Lytechinus pictus: one gene and its partner. The protein of the gene in region 2 interacts with the protein of the main gene of each other region in a pairwise test. Links are inferred from orthologs where the notes say so. Each region holds a gene or a part of one and is shown on either strand. Other genes may lie near its edges. The genes, in order: nucleoside diphosphate kinase 6-like and RCC1-like G exchanging factor-like protein.

Region 1 (13,185 bases), on a different chromosome or scaffold from region 2:
TATGTAGGAATTGTAGGGTCTTACATAGCAGTGCAATCCATAGTTGGATACTGTGCTTTAGAAATTAAAATTATCAAAGTAATTGCCACCATTGCTTTGGTGATTACGTACATGTAATGCCTCTTTATTGGTAGTCTCTAAGGCATGATTTCGCAAAGGTGGTTTTGAAAACCACCAGTTGAACCCATGGTTTATGCAAATTTCCTGAATAAATTATGCTTCATTTGTGTATACTGAAAAGTGTCCAATACTGATGCACGCTGTTATCATAGTGCGCCAAATTGATGCCTGTTGCCATGGTGAAGTACGCTATTTTATTCAAAAATCCACTGTTTTGAATCAACGAGTCCACTCTTCAAACTAAGGGTTCATGAATAAAGTAGCGTACTTAACCATGGCAACGGGCTTCAATTTGGCGCACTGTGACAAAAGCATGCATCAGTATTGGACACTTTTCAGTATACGTGGTAAAAAGCGTAATTTATACAGGAAATCTGCATGGTTTTCAAAACCACCTTTGTGAATTCGGGCCTATGTGTTCTGCAATAAATGTGCACAGCATAATTACCCTGGCCCTGGCCGAGCTACAAATGAGTTAAGTGTTTCTAGGAATAACGTTAATTCCAGCAAGGTATCTATTTCTCAAACCAGAGTCGAGCACAGCACAATGTGGATCAAGTTCTTGCTGAAGGAAATTATGCCATGGCTGGTATTTGAACCAAGTGATCCACTGAGCCACAATGCCCCAATATGTTGAAAACCAATCAGACTATGAGTATTAAAGTACTCTGCCCTACACATATATACATACCTTCATGTTCAGCATAGAATCTTGCTGCATCTGATTTCGACCACTGCAACCTCTTCGAGCAAACAACAAGAAACCCATTCTGAAGAATTATCTGCTTTATTATCTGCATTAAAGAAAAAAAAAAAAAATCGTAATTAACTTGCTTTCTGGTCAGTTATTCCAACTGTAAATCTATCCTTGACTATGCAAGAGGCACCTATATATTGTAGTACCCCCCCCCCCTTCTTCTAAAAAAAACAAAATAAGTCTGATTTGCCACAAGCGTACACCGATCAACAATCGACAATGAGCGCTAGATGCACTCGCGCGGATGTGCTCAAAATTTGTATGTGTGTTTTGGCCCCATTTTCAATGCGTTGCTGCTGATATCGCTTCCGTGATACAGTATGGCAGGGCGGAAGAATGCTCTACATTTCCCCCTCCGTGGTGCGGCGGCATCGTAAACAGCTGGATTTCAGCCAGATTTTTATACCAAACGTAGCTTCAAAATCCAACGTAATCGTTCCAAAATGAGCTCAAATCTGTTGATAGGTCGAAGATTTTGACAGCTCATTTCAGGTTTCGCCAATCGCCACATTCTTTTCTCACTTTAATAGGGGTTCAACACAGAATGATGTCTAAATTTGTTGACTGTTTTCGAAACTTGAATTGTTGAAATTTTCGCGTGGCAGTGAAAAGCCAGCAAATAAATAAAACCCCAGGGGTGGGCACTCGAATTATATTTTGATGGGGGTGTGCCTCACGAAACCTAGACAGGAATTACAGTCGTTTCTGGAATTTATTCACTGTCATCTCTATTCACCGACGGTAGGCCAGTAACATTAGTGCGAGCTCGCATGGGTACTAACGTCCCCTAATTCGGGCCTATGTTTTGTCTAGAGTTTAAACATTTTACGAGGTCTACATAAAAGAAATATTATTTAAAAATCGAAGGCCCATATTTCCTTAAATTATACACTATTTTGTGATGTTACTGATCATCAGTTCAAACAATGAAAAATATAGGTTACCAATGTTTTATTTCATGGTTTTTTAAATCAATCACAGTATTTTCCCCCCTTTTTGATGTTGAGAAGTACCGATGGTGATATTTTTGACGCGAGATATGGTGATTTAGTAAGAAAATTTCACTTTTTATTCGAGATTTTGCCCATGTCGCTGGATGATTTTGTAGTGTGGGAGTGAGTTAGTGAATGTATACTGTACATGTTTAGAGGGGGTCCGACCACATGACCGAAGTTCCGCGAGACCGAGGGTCCGTGAGACCGAAGGCCCGCGAGACCGATTTTTTTTTTTCCCCTTCATCGGTTGCCGAGGTCGAGTGGTTTAAGACGCCTCGTTGCAGCAGCGTAACAGGTGCCTGTATCGGGGGGGGGGGGGGGGGGGGCAAATAATTCCTGTTAACTAATTTAGAATCAGTGGCGTTGCTAGGATTTCATTTAGGGGCGGTGACCACGCGAATCGTGCGAAACACGTACTGCGCGCACGAAACGTCTCTCTAGGGGGGGGTGCAGGGAGGGGTGTTTCCGCTACTTACAGTACAAACTTATGATGCCTTATTTCACTGACACTACTTAATCATTAACTCTACTCATTTAACGTTTATTTTTATGGTAATTCTGCTTCATAATCTTGTGCATTTAACGTTTAACAAGAAAACTGGTAATATTATGAAAATGCATACACCTGGAACATTGAACCTTCATTATGGGCAATCCTATCTTAGCATTTTTTTTTTCATTTAAACAGAATAACAACAAGGTGAAAGTTCTAGAGAAAAGAAGGTACATTAATTTGTCACTCAAATAGAAGTGCCGGTTTAAATCAGTTTTCCTCCGGGAAGCCTGTCCTCGGGAGAGTTTTCATTGGGGAGTTGTCAAGGGTGGGTCGCCTTCCGGAGGAGTAGTCCTCTCGGGGAGTTGTCCTAAAACCCATTTTTTTATTGTTGTTGTTACTATTTTTGTTATCATGATATCAGCAGCTGCAGCAGTAGTAGAATTAGAAGTCGTAGTAGTAGTAGTTGTTGTTGTAGTAGTAGTCGTAGTAGTAGTAGTAATATATTATTATTGTTGTTTTTATCATCATTATTATTATTACTATCATTTAAGTCGTTGACATTATTCACCATTTTTGTTTTGCTTTGTTTCATTTTGTCTCCTTTGTTTTTATTCATCACTTTAATTAGTTTATTCAATCAATTTTTGAAACTGACACTCCAAATAAAAGGATGAATACTTTTCTAAAACCAGACAATGTTTTATAAACAGTCCTGCATGTTATAGTTATGTCTCTGAAATCCAGATGAAGAAAAAATGGTAGATGAGGTAAATGATAATTAAAAATGGCCGTAAAAGGGAAGGAAAATAAATTAATAGAAGCGCCGAGTTCACCTAGAGAAAAGAAGTAGAAAAAAATCAAGAAGAAAAAAAAGAAGCAAACTTATTTAGGAATAAAATGTTAACATAATTAAAGAGAACAGAGAAGGAGAGAGAGGGCGGGGGGTTCAAGAGGAACGATAGGAGAAATTGAAAGTAAAAAGAGCTGTGAGAAAAGTACAGAGGAAAAGAACTTGGAAGAATATCCAATTTATTTGAATGCTCTCTGTGTCTATCAGTGTGTGGGATGAGTGAGTGCGTTTCTATGCAAAATATGGTAAGGATATTTCTATAACAAAATCTTGAATTTGCAACAGCCCACTTCGGATGCGGCGCCACTGTATTTGGGTTCATCAGTCTAATTGTTGTAACATTTTTTGGTTTCACCTCAGTTGTGTAGATTTCTTCAGAGACTATGGTATCACTAGTGTACCTAAGGGGGGGAGAATGCCCCCCTGACGAGTCACAAGCCAAAAAAAAAGGAAGCGAAAAAAAGGAAAAGAAAAGAGGAAAGAGATAAAAAAGGGGGAAGGGGAAAAAGAAGAAAGAGTTTAAGAGAAAGGGGAAAACAAACAAGGCAAAAGCCAAGCGTTGTCTCGCCTGCATATTGCAGTCATGAAGAGACTGCATGTCAAAACTACATGTATGCTATATGACTTAGATGGACGTCTGTTACGAGTTTGGCGATCCCACCTCGAAGCTATAGAAAGTTATTGTGTGTACAACACAGCAGTGCCAGTCATGGAAAGTTCATTGACCTTTGACCTTAATCAATTTCCACTCACATTCGAACTTGACCTGCACCTTGAAGAGATGGACCTCTTGTTTGAATTTGGCAATCCTACCTCGAAGATATAAAAAGTTATTATGTGTACAACACAGCAGTGCCAGTCATGGAAAGTTCGTTGACCTTTGACCTTAATCAAATTCAACTCACATTTGAACTTGACCTGCACCTTCAAAAGATGGACCTCTTGTATGAATTTGGCAATCCTAACTCGAAGATATAGAAAGTTATTGTGTGTACAGCACAGCACAGTGCCAGTCATGGAAAGTTCATTGACCTTTGACCTTATTCAAATTCGACTCATATTCAAACTTGACCTGTGCCTTCAGGAGATGGACCTCTGGTATGAATTTGGTGATCTCACCTCGAAGCTATAGAAAGTTATTGTGTGTACAACACAGCACAGTGCCAGTCATGGAAAGTTCATTGACCTTTGACCTTATTCAAATTCGGACTTGACCTGTACCTTCAAGAGATGGACGTCTGTTATGAATTTGGCGATCTCACCTCAAAGCTATAGAAAGTTATTGTGTGTACAACACAGCACAGTGCCAGTCATGGAAAGTTCATTGACCTTTGACCTTATTCAAATTCGGACTTGACCTGTACCTTCAAGAGATGGACGTCTGTTATGAATTTGGCGATCTCACCTCAAAGCTATAGAAAGTTATTGTGTGTACAACACAGCACAGTGCCAATCATGGAAAGTTCATTGACCTTTGACCTTATTCAAATTTGACTCATATTCGAACTTGACCTGTGCCTTCAGGAGATGGACCTCTTGTATGAATTTGGTGATCCCACCTCGAAGATATAGAAAGATATTATGTGTACAGCACAGCACAGTGCCAGACCCTTAGTGACCTTTGACCTTGGTCATGTGACCTGAAACTCGCACATTATATTCAGGGGTACATGGTTGCTCTTATGTCCAAGTTTCATGAACTAGATCAATAAACTTTTAAAGTTATGACAATTCCTCAAATAACCTCAACATGGCCAAAGTTTGTTGACCCTAAGTGACCTTTGACCTTAATCATGTGATGCAAAACTCAGGCAGGATATTCAGTGATACACTATTACCCTTATGTATAAGTTTTATGAACTAGGTCCATATACTTTTGAAGTTATGACAACATTTCAAAAACTTAACCTTGTTTAAGATTTCGATATTGATTCCCCCAACATGGTCTAAGTTCATTGACCCTAAATGACCTTTGACCTTGGTCATGTGACCAGAAACTCAGACAGGATGTTCAGTAATACTTCATGACCCTTATGTCCAAGTTTCATGAACTAGGTCCATATACTTTCTAAGTTACGATGACGTTTCAAAAACTTAACCTTGGTTAAGATTTCAATGTTGACGATGCGGCCATCGCCGCCGCCGTCGGAAAAGCGGCGCCTATAGTCTCGCTCTGCTATGCAGACGAGACAATAAAAAGGAGGAGAAATAGAACTATTATCAACGATAAAGTGAGCAATAAAAAATGAAGGTAAAAAAATGAAGGTAAAACTAAAGAAAGAAAAGGCTTGTCATGCCTTATACACCAGCTCGTAGCCTAAGATCATCACACCAGCAACTTCTTAAGACTCCCAAGACACGTGTAGCATATGATGCGCGAGCTTTCTCTGCCTCAGCACCTTCTCTCTGGAATAATTTGCCGTTACATAAAGAATGATACCATCACTGGAGACCTTCAAATCTAAACTGAAGTCTTATCTTTTCTAACAGTATTAGTTATTGGCACTTTGACACTCATCCAAACTTTCTTTCTTTTCTTGTGCGCCTCGGAATAGAATATTTCTAGATAGATGGCGCTATATAAATGCCTATTATTATTATTATTAAGAAAGAAACTTAAAGGAAAAAAACAAAAAAAAAGACAAAAAAAAAATTAAAAGGATATAAAAATGAAGGAATAAAGAACCGAACAAAAAACCAGAAAAAACGAGTAAAATAAAGAAAAAAAGAGAAAAGGAAGGAAAAAAAAATGTAAAAGGTGAAGGAAGAGAGAAAAAAGGAAAATAAACAAAGAAAGAGAAAAAGAAAGAAAGAAAAAGATAAGAGAGAAAAGATGAAAGAGAAATTAAAGCAAAAATAAAGACTAAAAGAAATCGAAAGAAAGGTTAATTCAAAGAAAGAAAGAAAAAGAACGAAAAGGGAAAATAAAAAGGCAGGAAAAATGAAGAATGAATCAAAAAACAAAAAAGAAACGAAGAAAAATTAATGGAGGGAATAAAGAATTTTTTTTTAAAGAAATTAATAGAAGAAAGACGGAGAGAAGACAGAAAGTAAAGAAAGAGTAAATAAAGTATGAACGAAAAAAAAATGAGCGAAAAATTATTTTAAAAAAGAAGAAAGAAAGAAAGACACAAAAGTGACAGAAAGCATTAAAAAAATGAAAGAACAAATGAACGAAAATAAAGAACCCAAAAATATAAAGAAAAAATATTAAAAGAAAAATAATGAAACAAAAAGATTTAACAAGTGGAATGCCTCTGGCGGTCTCACCTGCATCACGCGATTCAATATAGCAGCAGTGCTGACTTTGAAAACTACTTTAACTTGCACACGGTGTTCAGTGATACTTGATTACTCTTACATGTATGTCCATGTTTTATGAACTAGACCAATACACTTACAGAGATATGATGGTAATTCAACAAATACCCCCAACATGGCCAAAGTTCATTGACCTTACATGACCTTTGACCTTGATCATGTGACCTGAAACGCGCACAGGATGTTCAGTGATACTTAATTACTCTTATGTCCAAGTTTCATGAATCAGATCCATAAACTTTCAAAGTTATGATGGTAATTCAACAAATAATCCCAATTTGGCCAAAGCTCATTGACCTTAAGGACGTTCCACAGTTAAAGTGAAATCCATGTCATTTTCACCAAACTTTGCACATAAATACTTTAGAACCTTAATATTCGAAATATGCAAAAATTAGCATAGGTCCATGTGCTTGATTTTTTGCTATAGAACTTCAAAGTTCACCCAAATTGATGTTCTTAAGAATTGCGCATTCAAAAGAATTTGGCATTTTTAGACCGCCCAAGATTACTACAATGAGTTTAAACCTGTATTACTCAGTAAAAATACATGAAAAAGTCATCAAATTTCGCAAGAGAGTTAATAATTGTATCGCTAGAATGGAGAATATACTTATAGTGCTATTTGTTTGCAATTTTAAGTTTAACAGCACTGTCAGTTCTTAAAAATGGCGTAAAAGATAACAAAATCCCAATCTAAAAAATGTGAAATTTCAGTAACAAACTACAAAAGTACAAAAAGGCTGCACTTTATTCAAAATCCATGTCATTTTAACCAAAATTTGTAGAGTTGTAGAGGAAGGTATACCTAAGAGGAACAAACATTAAAAAATAGGGGTTCATGTGCTTGTTTTTAAACTATCAGTATTTTATTAGAGCAAATGTGCTTTTTAAAACACCAAAAATGCGCCAAATGCTTTGTATCTATGTGAAGAAAAAATCAAAACCACTCTACCATTTATTCAAACTCGGGGTAATATTCGTAATTCTTGGCAGCACTGCAGAGTAAAGTATTTTGAAATTGTAGAGAATCTCTTTTTTGAATGGTCCATGGAATAATTCCATTCTTTAGCTTCATGAAATAACGCATCGGATCTGCAGTTAAAGTGCAGAAGATGAGAAAAATCAGCACATACCCGCAGCTAATTAATCACCTGTTCATCCATTGTGACGTCAGCGCGCAGAGTGTAAACTATGCGCAGATCATAATGCGCACAAACATAACTGTGGAACGTCCTTAAATGACCTTTGAGTTTGACCTTAATCATGTGACCTGAAACTTGCACAGGATGTTCAGTGATACTTGATTACTATAATGTCCAAGTTTCATGAATCAGATCCATAAACTTTCAAAGTTATGATAGTAATTCACAGATACCCCCAATTCGGCCAAAGTTCATTGACCCTAAATGACCTTTGACCTTGGTCATGTGACATGAAACTCATGCAGGATGTTCAGTGATACTTGATTAACCTTATGTCCAAGTTTCATGAATTAGGTCCATATATTTTTTAAGTTATGATGACATTTCAAAAACTTAACCTTAGGTTAAGATTTTGATGTTGATTCCCCCAACATGGTCTAAGTTCATTGACCCTAAATGACCTTTGACCTTGGTCATGTGACATGAAACTCAGGCAGATGTTCAGTAATACTTGATTAACCTTATGGCCAAGTTTCATGAACTAGGTCCATATACTTTCTAAGTTATGCTGCCGCCGCCGCCGTCGGAAAAGCGGCGCCTATAGTCTCACACTGCTATGTAGGTGAAACAAAAATTAAGGGAAGAAAGAAAAAAATGAAATGAATAAAATGGGGAAAACAAATTAAGACGAAAGAATGAATGAAAGAAAATAAATAAAGAAGAAAAATTACAAAAAATAGTGAAGGAAGAAAGAAAAAGGGGAAAAAAGAAAGAAACAGAAAAGGGGGGGGGGGGAAGCAAAAATAAAGACTTAGTAAAGAAAAAAAAGAAAGGAAAAAAACAAAAGAGTGAAAATAAAAAAGGAAGATGAAGAATAAATGAAACAAAGCAATATAAAAATAAGGTTGAGATTAAAAAATTCAAAAGAATAAAGCAAAAGATATACTGGTAATGAAGAATGAAAGAAAGGAAGATAGACAGACAGATAGAAAGGAAGAAAAAGTGAAAATAAATAAAGAAAAAAAGATAGAAAAAAGGGTGAAAAACAAAATAAAGGGTGGATGAAAGAAAGGGTGGAAAGAATACTCATTAGTACCAGTAGCCATGATCTATTTTGAGCAAGAAAGAATGCGAACATCGTCATGATCGTGAGATGTGATAACCCTCAAGCTATCTTAAATATCATAAATATCGTGAAAGATAAGATAAGAACGTTTTCAGAATACCACTTATCTTTTTTAGCGTGCTTTTGACTTTTTTGTATTTTAATTTTTATGCGCGAGTAATAAATTTACGCGCTCAGGCCTCAGCATACGATGGAAAGCAAGATGAGAAAAAGATAAGAATGTTTGGCATACTCGTGATATAGGCCCCGCTCGAGAAAAACTTGTAATCGATCATACCTCAATATCTAGGTTGCTAACTTCAGCTCACTATATATACTCGTGATATAGGCCCCGCTGCTGTGTTGAATGGCTCAGAATGTCCGTTCGCGGGGCCTGTTTCACGAGTATAATACTATAATCGTTATATAGGCCCCGCACTACGGCACTTCAGGCACTCCAAAACAGTAGCGGGGCCTATATCACGAGTATATTATTAAGCTTGCATCCTAAGATAATCGCGAAACTGGCCCCGTCCAATGCGCTTTTCCCAGCATTCGCACGTGCGTGGGGCTCGGATGACGGCTATTAGTATATTCGTTATCGAGGCCCCTTGCACTGTTATATCATGGAAAATAACGTGGTCGTGGGGCTTGTTTCCCCGGCCGGTGAGAATTATCATGGGCGGCGCTGGAGTGGGGGGGGGGGGGGTGGGGGGGGGGAGGGCCTCCAATTTATTTTCAAAATAAACAAGGAGAGATACTAATAAAATGTGTATGTATTTACTTCTTCAGAAATTTATTTGTCGATTTACTTATATATTAATACAATATTATTAATCTATTTATCAATCTATTTATATTGATTAATCAATGTATCTTATTCATTTGATTTATTTGTTTTCGGTTTATTTTTCTTTTGTGATATAGAGAGTCAGAGGTATCATTTATTTCAATCTATTTTAATTGCTTAATTAATCATTTATTTTATTTGTTTTCAGTTTTTTTTTCTTTTGTGATAGAGAGAGTAAGAGGTATCATTCGTTTTTAATTATTTTATGTGTGGAAGTTCACTTATTTCAATCTATTATAATTGATTAATTAATGTATTCATATTGATTAATTAATGTATTTATATGTATATTTATTCATTAATCATTTAATTTATTTGTTTTCAGTTTTTTTGTGATGTCCAATGCGCTTGTCCAAGCATTCGCCGTGTGTGGGGCTCGGATGACGGCTATAGTATACTCGTTATCGAGGCCCCTTACACTTGTTATATCATGGAAAATAGCGTGGTCGTGGGTCTTGATTCCTCGGTGAGTGATATCATGCGCGGCGCTGTACGGGGCCCGGGGGGCTCCAATTTATAAAAAAAAACAAGGGGAATAATAAAGAAGTGAGTATTAAAACTCTGCATGACAATGGAGTAGGATCCATATGGGCGACTTGTTTTAGGCATGTTATCCTTCCAGTTTTCAGAGAAAAATCAACCAGGCCCCTCACAACCTGACGCCGCCCTCGTGTTGCTAATATTTTCTTTTAAAGATCTGCTCTCTGAATAACTTTTGATAAATCCGTGAATGATTCATTCATTTGCTAATTTTTTTGGAGTGTTTTCGATGTAACGTTAGGCCTATATTATGTTGTTATTTTTGTTCCATTATCCATCGTAATTTGTATTTGCTAGTTATTTGATAACCTCGTTTTATTCAGCATTTCATTTGAATTATTTTTTTGCGGGGAGAGAGGTGTCATTAATGATTAAATTATATAGCTCTTGTATAATTTCCCCCAACCTTTCACTTGACGTAATGCTGCGAATGAATCCATTTATTCATTCATGTATCATAATCTATTTATAATCACCTGGATGTAAGAAGTCAATATACATTTTTTTCAAATCGGCTTTTTTCTCTTATTCAATATTGAATCATTCATCTGGCTTCCTGCGTATTATCAATTTGTATTTTTTCATTCCTTTCATAAATCCCCCCCCCCCCCCCGCTTCCCCACTTTTCATCCATTTAAGTTCAGAAAAGAAAACGAATAGGCATATTCATTCGGGAAAAATGTATTAATTTTCTTTTGGTCAATTTTATTATTGCTTGAGGGATATCTACGCTAAAATTAACTTAATCTATATTTTACTGAGACTTATCCCCCCCCCGGCCCCCACAATTGGGGATAGGCCTATCATTATCTATATTATCTAAGTACGTTAAGTACGTTTTCTCTTTTACCTAAATATCAATTTATTAATCTTTTATTTTTTTTTAAAGCTTACTAATACCGTTCATTGATATTCCAGTATTTCTTCAGCTAATTAACCTATCAACTTAAATTATTTTCTCATCCTGCTTTCATTTTAATAAATCCACTTGAAGATTGTTTGTAATTGTATTTGATAGCATGGTTTTAAAAATGATGGATTTCGATTGTTTGCTGGTATACATGGTAGTAGGCCTGAAATAACGGCATATCGCATCAACAAATTATTAAAAAAAAACATTTATTGATCGATCGTCATTTCATTAATTCACCATCTAAATATTGCATTTTTTTCTTCGCCTATATGGTATTCATTTATTTACTAATTCATACACCCTCGCCCCCGATTTTATTAAAAGATTTAATAATTTCGGAAAAGTGTCTCAATGTGTTCTTATAATTTATTTTCATGCACGAATTATTCTACTATTTCCTTATCTGTGATATTTTATTTCAGGAGTTTAATGTGTCCCCCAGATCCGAGATTTCGTAGCGGGGGGAGGGGGGCAAATTTGAGAAGACAGTTGGTGGCGCATATGTCTGTCTGGTCAGAAAAAAATATACACAGAAGTACGGGTTCAGTATTTTTAAAGGGGCGGGGGTACAGCCGTACAGGCCGGTTGGACACATTGCCATTCATGAAATCCCTGGTCGGCCACTCAAAGAGGAAAAGGTAAGTGTTTTTTTTTTTTTGGGGGGGGGGCGTTGTGATATGGAAGTTTATGTACATTTTACTTTAATATTTACCAACAAGATAGGCCTACCATGACTATACGGCCGAACTAAACGAGAACGCTAACTGTGAAAAAAAAAAAATTATAATCCATGTGTTAAAAGCTATGAATGGAGCACACCAAGCTCTTATTAACCCTAAACAACAAACGTTTACTTAATATTTTAATTACTGAACTGAAAATGGGAAAAGGACTTTACAGTGACGCATGAACAGGATATGAAAGAGGAGCGCGAGCTGATTTTTTTCACACTTGAAAATAGGATGCGAATGCAATCGAAGTTCGAGATGAATTTTGTTGATATATATCGACACGAAAAGGTTATGTTTTTAAACACTGCTGACGTGTAGGAGTGAGAGAGGGGGGGGGGCATCTTGTTCAAAACTTAACTTTCCTTGTTAAATTTGATCCATTACAAAGGATAATAATGCATTTTAAATGATTTTAGTATAATTGACGTTTTCCTTGAACCGTTGTGTTCTTTGAATTGATGGGAACATAAAATTATAGGTCTATAATCGATTGTAATTCTTTTTTATTAGGGAGCAATAATTTTTACCAAAATCCCAATCATCTTGGAGTGTAATATTTTTTCTTCTTTTTTGCCATTTTTTTCAAACAAAACCCACAGCACCCCCTACTAAAAATCGTTCCCAGTGCCCTGCTTGATCGTTTATCGAACATGATTTGCGTGGATATTTTTTTTTCTCTATATTTGAGATTTACATAATTCTTGATTCAATAATCAGATCATGCTTCATAAACTTCTTTGTTTGTAAAATTATATTTCTTGAAGACGAAATGATATGACTGTTGTGTTTAAGTGACATTTGTTACCTTGTCAGTTTCGTTCAATAGTTTCTGGAGGGTAAGAAATTAGCTTTATTTGATTAGCATTATATTTAGGATATATAACCAAAATGATATTGCTTGGTCATGTTTGATTCATCTGTAAATATCAATATTTTACATCGATTTACATGTAGTTTAATTACCACTAACATAGTATCCTGTTGCTAGGCGACATCCCACAATTCTATAGGCGCTGTTTTTCATGCAGTTGCATCATACATATACTTAGTTGACATAGTGAGGTCACGAGTCGTGGCATGTTCTGATATTGTTTTTTTTATATATATATAAAAACACAAATTTAGAATGAGAAATCAGATAAAGCACAAAAGTTTTTCTAATTTAATTTTTCTGTTTTTTGATATACAAAAACCAAATCACAACACGTTATTCTCGTTGTGATTTCGTTTTTGTGTTTTCAAAAACCCCAAACTAAGGGGCTGATTTTCGTTTTCGCTTCTTCATGATTGGAACAGAAAAACAAATTATCCATTAGTACCTTGATTGTGCAGGTTACTGGGCAGGTGAAAGTGACATTACAA
Region 2 (13,022 bases):
TCAAAGTCACAATGCAACAACTGCTTAAAGGTCAAGTCCACCTCAGAAAATTTTTGATTTGAATTGATAGAAAAAAATCAGACAAGCATAATGCTGAAAATGTCATAAAAATCAGATGTGAAATAAGAAAGTTATGACATTTAAAAGTTTCGCTTATTTTTCACAAAATAGTTATATGCACAATTCTGTCACATGCAAATGAGAGAATCAATGACGTCCCTCATTCACTATTTCTTTTGTTTTTATTGTTTGAATTATACAATATTTCAATTTTTACAGATTTGACAATAAGGATCAACTTGACTGAACCATAAAATGTTAAACAATGGTAATTCCACATGTTCAGGGCAAAATAAAACTTTGTTTCACAGGACAATGAGTAGAAAATGAGAATATTTCATATTTCATATAATAAAAATACAAAAGAAAAACCCGGTAGTGAGTGAGTGATGTCATCAGTGCCCTCATTTGCATACTGACCGGGATGTGAATATAACTATTTTGAGAAATTAAGCAAAACTTAAAAATGTCATAACTTTCCTATTTTACATCCGATTTTGATGAAATTTTCAGTGTTGTGCTTGTTAGATTTTTGTCATTATATTCAAATCAACTGTTTGTTGCGGTGGACTTGTCCTTTAATCAAAGATATGACACAATAAAAAGGTGAAGAGCATACAAATTAATAAATTTATGATCATCATCATTTTCATAATTTGATATTGATCATTCATGATAACTATTGACAATGTTAAAATTGTTATACACTAAATAAATTGTATTAGGGGGCTGTTTCTAAAAGCTGCACATTAATTCTTTGCCCACTTTGTTCAACTAGTACAGCAGACTGCCAAGTTCGACACAAGTCACATTCGATTCACAATGCACACAGAGTGCATTAAGTCTGTTGTTCGTACACACATACACAAAAGTGGTGTGTTCATCGCAGTGTACACACAAATCTTTTACTAATAGACCGATCAAAAGCTATTGTGAGCTGAATTAGCACAGCTCACGCAAAACCCCGCCAGGGTTACACCTTGAAATTAATGTGGCGCAGGAATGATTCTGTCTGTGGCGGGCAAAGAGTTATCTCTTTGCCCGCCACAGACAGAATCATTCCTGCAGACAGAATCATAACAAAATATTCTACAGTGGCTAGAATATGGAAAGCCATAGGGGTTCTCAATCATTCTTACATTAGTTGAAGTTATATAGATGTTGAAGATTCTTACAGCTAGTGTATGTTCTGTCACAATTAAAATGGAATGATGTGAAATTCAGTGAAATCTGTATAATATACTTCACTTCATAAGGGAGAAATGTAAACCCTTAAAAAATTCTGAGTTTGGCCATTAATTTCTCCCAACTCCAAATTTTACACAATGCAAATTTGATATCATTCAAAAGATCATTTAATATTCTTTAAAATGATACCATACTTGTTATGATCATGCCATCACAAAAAGAGCAGGATTCAAAAGTGTTGGATGAGGTCTGAATTGAAAAGCAGCAAAACGAGTAGAAATGGTTATGAAGGGTCAATAAAGAACATGATTCTTTTGTCTGTGTCAATAAAGATGAAAATCCATTCAAATCAAGCCCCTACTTCTTCATTTTTTATGTTTAGTTGTGGTTTATGTTGTGATGGTTCTGTGAGATAACATGGTTTGAGTCATGGTTTGAGATACCCATGCACATTTGATTGTTATGTGTTTCCTTGTGCCATGTGTGCAGAGGTGTGTTTGATTCCATGTTAATGCTGATGTTAAGGTGCATGAAAACAAAAGAAACCGCTGAGAAACTTGCTCATCACCACAGAAAAAAGAACAGTGACTTTCAATATTGTATAATTTTGCAACTTTTGAATTTTGACCTTGCCCCACATTTCAAGGCACTGCACCTTCGTGTGAACCATAATCATATCATGTATCATTTTAAAGAAAATTAAATGATCTATATGCAACACATGAATATTCACTAAAATCGAGGAGGGGTTATCGATCAAAGTCAGATTTCCAAAAAAAATTTGAGGAGTTTATATATAAGCAGGTGGTCTTTATACAAAGGTTCATTTAATACATGTTTCACTGCAGAGTACTACCAGTATTCTAGGAATACCAAACTTGCGGTCTTTAAAGGGATGGTCCGGGCTGAAAATATTCATATCTCAATAAATAGAGTAAAATTCACAGAGCAGAATGCTAAAAATTTCATCAAAATCGGATAACAATAAAGAAGTTATTGAATTATAATTTCTTTCAATATTTTGTGAAAGCAGTTATATGCACATCGTCATGAATATTCATTAGGTAGGCTGATGATGTCACATCCCCACTTTCCTTTTTCTCATGTTATTACATGAAATCATAAATGTTTCATTTTTCATACATGTGTAAATGATGTGTCTCCATTATGATGAAATAAGTGCGGCAATAAATAACTATTAATGCACTTAATCAGTTGTCAATCCAATTGTTTTAGTTCTTGGTAGAAAAATTTTGAATAAACCTAATTTCATATAATAAAATACAAAAGAACAAGTGGGGATATGACATCATCAGCCCACCTAATGAATATTCATAAAGACATGCCTAGAAATGTTTCACGGGAATAACGCAAATCTTTAAAATTCTATAACTTTGTTATTTGTCATCCAATTTTGATCAAATTTTCAGCATTTTGCTCTGTGAATTTTACTCTATTTTTTGAGATATAAATATTTTCAGCCTGGACCATTCCTTTAAAGAGAAGTGGTCCTTGTATAACAGATGAAAGCGGGTGTGACTCTGTATTCAAATTTTATATTTGGCATTTCTTATGCCAGTCATTCATTAAACTGTTTGTAACTAAAGATCAGCTTTATGAAACACATGTGATGTTAGCGTTTACCTATAATCTTCATGGGGTATAATGGGCCTTCCACACTGACCATGAGAATTATTGCCAAGACTGTATACTGCAAATAGAAAAGGAAAGTCAATCCAAATAAAAACACAAGTGCTAAAACCATGATCACTTGACAATGCATTGAAATTTGCAAAATAACAAAATCATATGTTCTTCTTTATTTCCAACATACTATATTGTCCTTATGCTATTCTTCGGAAATCTTTATTCATGTACTGACAACCTTCTTCATCCGTGAAGATAAGCAAATGATATCTCCCACATAAACATAAGTTTCATAAAGCTGTTTGTAAGTTATACGCATGGCTTTTACATGAGACTGATGACCCTTTCTTGTACTTAGGCTATGGCGCAGTCACGTTTCCCCTATGGCGGCCGTATTGCGAGTAAAAAACAGCCATTTTAACATTTTTTGTATCAGCTACATATACGTGGTTTGAATAAAAATGATTATATGACACCTGGATAGATCCTTGTCCTTTGATTGGTTGTTTGATGTTGATCATTCAGGCCATTTTACAATGACGTCATCATCCATGCAATTTTGGATCCATACGACTTTTCCATTGAACGCGCGTGCAACACTGACCACTGGCAGTGGCCTACACGTAAACTTTTCGGTCTTATAGTAAGTGTGTTTGTATGTATGCGGCAATCAACAGACCGCATTCGCACTGAATTCAAATTTATAAATGCCAAATGACAAGGATCTATTTTAGGTGCAATATAAAACAATGAATTTATTCATGCAATGGACAGAATACTTCATGAGGTGAAAGATAAAATGAATGATCAATTTCATCTTATTTCATCTTTCACCTCATAAAGTATTCTGTCCATTGCATGAATGAATATTCATTATTTGTATAGTAAAACAGCTGTGTTCGACTAGCCATACGGCCGCCTTGGGGGAAATGTCACTGAAGCATTAATAATATTAATATATCCCCATGCCCGGGGGGGGGGGGGGGGCACTCACATATATTGGTGGTAAGGGGACCTGCCGCTTTGATGACCACCTTTTTCAGACCTAATTTTCAGTTCTCTTGATACCCCAAGACCCCATACTTTACCCATTTAGTCAGTTCCTTAGACCCCCATTTCAAATTTCAGATTTTTCGTGAGGCACACACCCCCAGCAAAAATAACTTTGAGTGCCCCCCCTTGGGTCCCTATGTAGCTGACCTAGCACCTAAGATCATATGCATTACGTGAAATTATTTATTTCTGTACTTACCACCTTCTTCATCTGTAAGTATAAGGGAGTGAGATCTACCACAGGATACCTGAGAAACTCTGGTCTTCCGTGGCTTCTTCAGAGGTAATGTGATTTCAGTTGGTGATATGATGGTATGCATTCCCTCAACTAGCAAATAAGCAGGTGCAACAAAAAAAGAGAATAATAAAAATAATCCGCTTTTATATAGCGCTTAATACATCGGAACAACGTGTCTAAGCGCTTTACATATATATTACCCCGGTCATCGGATTCAATCGGTCATTCCCGTACACAATGTATGCACATCCTCCACTCCTTGGGGAGTATTCCAGTCAGTCACCAGTGAAGCGCACACAGTACTGGACAAGCTACAGTGACTTTCTCATCCTACCGGGTACCCATTTAGCACCTGGGTCGAGAGCGGCAAAGTGTGGATTAATGCCTTGCCAAAGGATGCCAAGCTGCGGTGGGATTCAAACACTTGACACGGAATACAAATTTAGAGGGCAGAAAAGAGTTGGCCCAAGTAGGAAACAGTAGTTAATCACTAGTAAATACTAGCTCAAAAATTACATGTACAAGGAAAATGGGAAATGCATGGATATACTATAAAATATGCCTCTTGAATATTTTCATGTATTTTCAGGTACTCCATGTACATCTTTAATGAGTACTTCCAAGCATTTACAAGTTTTTCCCCAGTATTTCCCACCTGGGCGGGAAATGTATAAATCACTGGGAAACTGCCATACCTGGGGCTGAAATTCAAAGATAATTTCATGTAACAGTTTCATTTCAATTGGCTATCCATACTATAGTTAAACCGCAACTTTTAGATCATAGTTTAAATTAAAGTTAAAACTGTATTCAGAATATGGGCTAATGCAGACTTGCCAACCTTCTACAACCAAAAAAAGTATTCTTATAAGGAAAAAAGGTATTTTTTGACAAAAAAAGAGTATTTTTAAAAATTTGTCTCAACGTAACAATCGCCAGCCTGTTGTAGTGAGATCGGTGAAAAAACATATGAAATGACTCTACTTGAAAAATTCTTCATAATTCTTCTTCCAGTCTGGTACAGTCCGCCACTGGCGTATTATCGTACCTCCCTTTCACCCAATAAACATGTGCTCATAGGCAAGGATTAACTTGTTCTTTTCAGGCAACAAGTTACTGGCCTGACAGTGATTTTTACCTGGTCTGGGACTGTCGAACCGGCGCTAGTGTCACACGCTGTGTATAATACATACTCCATGATCAGAAATTTTGAAAAAAAGTAACAAATCATACAAAAAAGGTATTGGTGTATTTATAGCAACAAAAAAAAGGAACAAATACTCTAAAAAGGGAACGGTTGGCATGTCTGCTAATGTCATCATGCGAAAATATTGGATAACTCCCCATTTCTGAATAGTTTTATTTTTCTTCTTACCACTTGTCATAGCTTTGGGATGATATCCAATCTGCGAGTTTGTATTGATGCCCATACCCCAGACCTTACTGGTGTCCTGTGTATGGCTGCCAATCAGTGAAAACCCATACCCACAAGATGCTGTTGTGATCTGCCCAAGAGAGGAAAAAGATGACGTTAAAAAAAAATCAAATACGCAAAAGTCCATTGCGATGAGATAAATTACAATATAATACTCCACAAGAAATGTGAAACAATTCTAGATTGGCAGAGAATAATTTGCCTATCTACATGTAATTTGATCAGTATTTCTGGTCAAAATACAAAAGCTCTCAACAACGTTCTGTAGTCCTGTGGGAAAAAAAATCTGCTACACAAATATTTTTTTCTGTTAATCTTTAAAACATGTGGAGCACATTGATTCCAATGTGATAACTGGGAAAATCATTCCCTGATTGGTGGAATTTGGTTCATAAGAAGCAAGCTGCAGGTCCTTTTCACTGACAAGTGTCAATTGTGGCGGAGCATGGAGGCATAAAGATAAGATCATTCATATACATATATTTTTTCATATTCAAAGTAACTCTAAACCAAAATGTATATTATTATAAAACAATATAAAATAGACATGAGTAGTAATTGTAATATTTTGTGTTGTTTCATAAAGTTTTAGAAAGGTAAGATCCCATGACATAAGACATTTGCTCCAGACACTTGCTCGTACACATAAAACCAAATCCTAACCGTAAACCTAACCCTAATCATGATCCTGATCCTAATATAATCCTGGGGGCTGTCTCATAAAGCTGTTCAACAGTGTTCGTAAGTTAAGAGCGACTTTAAGAACGACTGGTGAACATTTCTTACACGCTAAACCATCGCCAATAAATATACCATTTACCACAAGAAAGGATCACCAGTCGTTCTTAAAGTTGCTCTTAACTTACGAACAGCTTTTTGAAACACCCACCTGAACCCCAAACCCTTCAAAAGCCAAAATCAAGAACCTTGTGTCTTCTGATATATTAAAACAGATAAAAATATACAAATTTTGGGGTCCATCTTACAAAGAGCTGCCATATAACAATAAATTTGAATCAAACCTGAATTGCTGCAATTGATCTAAATTAATTTGTGTAATTAAGTGATAGGATTTTTAGATCTATCACACTTTGAGTTTGATTTAAACCTACAGGGCAATTCCATAAAATATGTATATATGTGGGACTTTCATGAAATTCTCTGTCTCTGATTTCTTGTTCTTTTGATAGTATGTAATGCTCTCAAATGACCATGACAATGGTCAGTCTATGAAGTGAAGTAAAACTTGAGAAAAATGGGGGTCGGACGTACAAAAAGGTTGATTATTTTATGGAAGTGCCCTACATGTACCTATCACAACTCTCTGTAAGACAAAGCCCCAATGAGTATTTCATAAAGCTGTTCGTAAGTTACGAGTGACTTTACATGTATGATCAACTGGTGATCCTTTCTTGTGTTAAGTTAATTGAATACACACCAGGGGGTGTTTCACAAAGATTTAAGATTGATTTAGAGTCGCACTTAAATACCGAGTTGCGTACAGTATAAAAGGCTTGACCGCATGGGTCAGATCGTGTCATGAGGACGCGCACTACTGCGTATCTGATATGATTTTGTAAGTCGCCCTGCGTGGCTGACATGGTTTTTTGTGCTCTCTGAGCTGTGTATGATTTCTACTGTTTACATGTATTGTTTCTCATTAATAATTGTACCAGATAGGTTTGTTATTTGCAAGGATACTTGTAGCCAAATTTGCAACTGTATCTTGCTTGTATTGATGAGATATTACTGGATGTTCTTGTACATGGTTTTGATTTGAGCTTGTAAATCTGTAAGCCATTTTGTACATGTGTATTATATGTCCAGCTATCACCATTCAAGGTCGCTGAACTTGAACGGACAGTTTCTATCTATTGAATGCCTGCATTTGAAGCACAATGGAGCCATTGACACTGTGCCTATTCACTCTCACTGTGCTTTTCAAGTTTTTTCAAGTGTCAACTGCAAGTCTACCTTGTGAAATTGAATACAATACAGGACACCCAACTAAGGAGATTCACTGTAAGTACTCAAAACTTCGAGTATCTTATTACTACAATTCGTCTGCAACATTTCAGCTCAAGATACTTCAGTCTGGCGATGTTAGTCCTAATCCTGGACCAACTAGTGAATACATAACCAGATGTCGTAGTGTTCCTATTCAGTGGAACTCCGACGGAACTAGAGAGCGTATTAAGTACGACAGGTCGATTTTGCTACGAAGCAATCCTGCGTGGGCCCATTTGAATCCAATGACTTTATTATGATTGTAATCCCAACGATGATGGCAATGACAAGAATGGTGATAATAATTATAATGTTGATATAATGATGATGGTATAATGATCGTAATTGATCACGAGAATATTTATTACGACAAGATTGGTGATTATGGTAGCAATAATAGTGATGATCAGAGGATAATATTTTGCTGTGGGGGACAATAATGATGCACCCTATGAACAAAGGATATATCCTCTGCTCCGCCGCCCGCGGTGATGATTAATGTTTTATGATGATGACGGTGATAATGACAGTGATGAAGGTGCTGAGATTAATTATGATAATAATCCTAGTTTTGATGATTACAATGATTATGATTATGATTATGGCGATTGTGATGGAACGACAGTGGGGGAAGGGGCATGTTTGTCGAGATTGAATTTCATTTGAAAATTAAAGGTAGGTCCTAGACTGAACAGTTTCATGAGTGTTTCTCACCAAGGCGAACTTCTACTTCAAGCTAATTACGGAGCTGCAACTCTCTTCAGTTGGTTCGAGATTCGACCCATGAACCTCATATACAGAGAACGAATGATCAATAACCAGGTAACATAATTGTATACGATGTCAATTAAGGACAAATTTTTCTCCTTATGTCTATTTATCGTATGGTTGACATCACAATGAGGCAAAATTTGATTGCATGGTGACTTCTTAAAAAAATCCTAAGTTTGGGATTTTTAAGGGGAAGGTAACACTTATGCTGGATTTTCCCCAACAAATATGATTTTTGAAACTTGTAAGAATGATGGTTGAGTGAACAGGAATTTTAAATTTAGTGTAGCCTATTCATCTTGTAGACCTAAGCAGTGTGTTTTGTGAGTCGGAGTAATGTGATGGTACCTGTTACAAGCGAGATATGGTAAGACTTGGTTGAAAGGGCATTCATCATCTTTTTGTCATTTTACAAATAAAATTCTTATGTATCTCCACCCCCCCCTCAATTTTCCAGACCCCTCTCACTTCCTGGATGGTAGCCTCCCGGGGGTAGCCTTTTCAAAACTTATTTGCCACTGAAGTGACCGGTGGCTGATAGTCATTTTTTTTCTTTCTTTTTATTGAATGATTACCAAGAAATTGACTTGATTATAATTTATGAAATACTTTATTGAAAAACTGAATGTTTGATTGATTACATTGCCCATTGAAATAGTTGATTTATTGATAAATTGTTGATAGGAAAAAGTTGATGCCCCAATTATCATTATAATTAAATTAACATTCTGCTCTGGACTTCACGCGTACATGACAATAAAAATCAGTCACTCAACAGAAGGGGAGTGCGAGAGAGAGGGAGGGGGGCTAAAATGTTATGTTGACCCTTTTTCCATCAACCTACTTATCCCACTTACGTCCAATCTCACCCCCTATTTTCCTGACTCCAATGAACACATTGCTGAGAGCCACATGATAATGTTGAAATGTTGCCCAAGATGTGTAATTTTTGTTCAATTTAATAATTCATAAAACTTGCTTAAACATTCCTAACTGGTTGATCAATAATTTATCACAACGCCCATAACATTGCAAGTTCCAAAGCCAAATAATTTGCCCCTCAAAAACTGACAAAAAATGGAAGGCTAATTCCAGCCCAGCATAATTTTCATACCCTTTGTTTCAATAGGCAGTGTTCGCTCAAACGTGATAGTATCTCTAAACATGGGGTATGGTTTTATGCTGGAAAATCCCTAAACATGCATGGCCCCAATTTTTAGATACTTGCTTTTAGATACATGGGTTCATGCCCCCAATTTTTAGATATTGGCCTTAAACATGGGTCCATATCCGGGGTCCATATTCTCAAATTTGGGGTGATAAACTTTTTGGTCAAGTTTTAAGCCCTTATTATGCATATCAATTCCTTTTATAGGAAAAGCGCTCCTCACAATTTCCGTATATTTGGCACCGGCCGTTTGGTACCGCCTTGACTGAACTGTGCGAAGTGTGTGTGGTCTGTGTGTAGAGATAGACCGAGCCTTCAGCACTATTTCTTGGGGGTGCATAAATTGCCATAATTAGGTTTATTGTGACATAATAAAATTAATCACTGTAATCAATTAATCACTGGGGGAAAAGGATGTACTTCTCTTCACAAAATGAAGAGAAGTACACGAAGGGAAATTTTGTACTTTTTGCATGTCATTGGACGGATGAAGACCCTCATTAAAGTATTGCATACGGGTGGAAGTGCTTGTGCATAGCCTATTTTGTGTTTGTAAATGGTATTCCGTTCTATAGTCTGAATTCTTAACCTTATATCAACTCTTTTCTCTCTTTTGGGGATTTTGTAGATTAGCATCTATCCTGTATTAAATAAACTTGAACTTGATTTTGATAATAGTGACCTGAATGTTTTCATAATTTTATATGGCCAACCTCTCCTTCCGGCCCTACCGTTCTATTATGTTTCTTCCTCCCATTACAGATCCTCTTCCTCTTTTTCACCCTCCATCTCGAGTAATCACTTTCTTCCTTTCTCACTGACAATATGGAAGGGGTGCAGCTCCGATCGCCTCCTTACATCGAGAGGTACACATCGACAGGGCAAAAAAAAAAATCCTTTTAATGGAGACCACCCTGCTGATGTCCACGTTTAATGAAGTGCATATACTTTCACAGTATTGACATTTCAGAAACTTTTTAACATTTGCTAAGATTTGACGTACACGAGATGACACTCAAAACTTCTTTTCTAAAATCGTGTACCATTATTTGATAACTCGGTGTAAATACCAATAAATCATGTAATGGACCTCGACACTCTTCATGTAGTCAGCATGTTCGATTGATACACGTTTGTAAAAAGTAAAACACACACATTAATTATATAATTGATTTTTTTTTTTTTCTCATGTCTTAAAGGTAAAATAGACCTATGGTTTTATCATAAAGACCAGCTGCCATTAACAAATTTAATAAATATCATCCCGTGTCTTTTCTTTGATCATGTAATGTTTAGAAACATTGCTGCTGCATAATTAGTGTGATTCATTTTTGTTTTGTCAAAATTATCTCATCGGCGATTCCGTTCAAAATGCCCTATAATGGGACAGAGAGTTACATGTATATTTGTATTTTACGTGCATTAAAGCCACCGACAAGCTATGAATCGGCTTGGAGAAGACATGCACGCAACTGATCTATAACCATGGACCTACTAGTACACAGCAGTAACATACAGACAATGAGGCATTCAGCATGTTCAGGGTTTCACATTCACATTGAAACGGATTTTTCCTATTGTTAGCTGCTTTGTGATTTTCACACCTTCATCCATTGTTCTCAAAACGTGCTAGACGGCGTAATTGACCAAATTCAGGTTCAAGGGGTGTTTATAGCTATATAGGGTCGTTGACTTCAACCAAGGACCTATAGATGTACAGTGCAGGCACATTATGGCCCACTCTAGACCGTTGCATGAAATCACCCGAAATATCTTAAATATTCATTAATGCATAATGAGGGCGCGAAATCTGATAGTATGGCCTGAAATCTGGACATTTCAAGCACCTTTGTAACTATAAATATGATGCATATATTTAACCATTAATGCGAACGCGAACCGTGAGCCAATTTTTTTGATAAACTGTCATGAAAAGGGGATTTCAAGTAGTTTGTTGTATAATCAATATTGAGACATACATAAATCGCCAATCAAAATGCGAGCGTGCAGCGCTAGCTGAGGCGCGATAGCTCAGTCGTAGAGCGGGGGTTTCGGATTCCGGTGAACCGGGTTCGATTCCCAAGTGGTGCGCGAGTGCCCTTTGGTAAGGCATTTATCCTCATTACCAGGTCCCTCGGAGAGGACCTTAAGCCGTTGGTCCCCTGATTGCTTGCTCACAGGCATTCGTGCTTTCTTAGCAGTCACGTAAAACATACTCGGTATAACCTGATACGATTTGACAATCAGACCCGAAAAGGGATATTTAGAAAATGTATGGAATGCACGAGAATGATAGGTACCAATCAAAATTCGCGAGCGCGCAGCACGAACAGAAAATATTAATATTCAGACCATAAAACTGACATGTTTACAGAGCACTTTTAAAAAATCAGTTTGTAAATCACACAAAATAATGAAGTTCAATTTCCGAGGTGAAATGTGTTTTGTAAATTAACTTCCAAACTTGATACCTAAACTCATTGAACAAGATATGAAAATCACCTAACAGGCAATGCTGCAAGGGCAAAGCGCGAGCGAAAATTGTATAGTGACATGAAAGATTTTTTTTCCCAAGTCTTTCCCTCATCTTATTTTATTCACTCGTCTTCCTCTACTTTATTCTCCTCTCTTTTCCCTCCTCTTTTCCCTTTTTTCTATCTTTTTTTTGCTCGACCAAGAGGGGGGGGGGGTCCCTCGCCCCCCGATCCGCCTATGCTTTGTGGAAAACAAGGTATCATAACGAAATGCATATAGAATATATTTTAACCTGTTGTCAACTTCAAACAATCTTAAAAGATGTCCTGATAGATCGCAAATATGAAAGGCTACCAACTTCTATTTTGTCTTATTGACGTTTCCAACTTTGTCGAGAAAATGCATCTTTGATATTATTTTCTTAACGGAGAACAATTAAGGGATCATAACGAAAGGCATATCAAATCTATTTTGTCTTGTTGACCCCTAACAACAATTTTAAAACATGTCCTGATAGATCGCACACCAATCTGAGATGTTTGTGACTTCCATTCTGTTTTATTTACGTTTCCAACATCGTCGAGAAAAGACGTATTTAATATTTCTTAACGGAGAACAAGGGATCATAACGAAAGGTATATCAAATCTATTTTAACTTGTTGACCCCTCGAAAAATTTTCAATCATGCCCTGATAGATCGCACACCCATCTGAGATGTTTGTGACTTCTATTTTGTTTTATCTACGTTTCCAACTTTGTCGAGAAAATGCATCTTTCATATTTCTTAACGGATAACAGGGGATCATAACGAAAGGTATATCAAATATATTTTAACTTGTTGACACCTAAAAACAATTTTAAAACATGTCGTGATAGATCGCTCACTATTCTGAGATGTTTGTGACTTCTATTCTGTTTTATTTACGTTTCCAACATCGTCGAGAAAAGACGTATTTAATATTTCTTAACGGACAACAAGG

The links.
Region 1: the proteins of RCC1-like G exchanging factor-like protein (region 2) and nucleoside diphosphate kinase 6-like interact in binary tests that used the Homo sapiens proteins (3 or more experiments, as listed by UniProt). The link is inferred for Lytechinus pictus from reciprocal best matches to the Homo sapiens genes RCC1L and NME6.

Annotation. Positions count from the first base shown.
Region 1 is NC_087261.1:7,007,218-7,020,402, reverse strand, and holds the start of nucleoside diphosphate kinase 6-like, read right to left. Parts: upstream 6,495-13,185; coding exon 6,489-6,494; intron 915-6,488; coding exon 812-914; intron 1-811. UniProt on the Homo sapiens protein: Major role in the synthesis of nucleoside triphosphates other than ATP. The ATP gamma phosphate is transferred to the NDP beta phosphate via a ping-pong mechanism, using a phosphorylated active-site intermediate. Inhibitor of p53-induced apoptosis.
Region 2 is NC_087245.1:39,114,374-39,127,395, forward strand, and holds the start of RCC1-like G exchanging factor-like protein, read right to left. Parts: upstream 5,693-13,022; 5' UTR 5,617-5,692; coding exon 5,562-5,616; intron 4,277-5,561; coding exon 4,148-4,276; intron 2,960-4,147; coding exon 2,893-2,959; intron 1-2,892. UniProt on the Homo sapiens protein: Guanine nucleotide exchange factor (GEF) for mitochondrial dynamin-related GTPase OPA1. Activates OPA1, by exchanging bound GDP for free GTP, and drives OPA1 and MFN1-dependent mitochondrial fusion. Plays an essential role in mitochondrial ribosome biogenesis.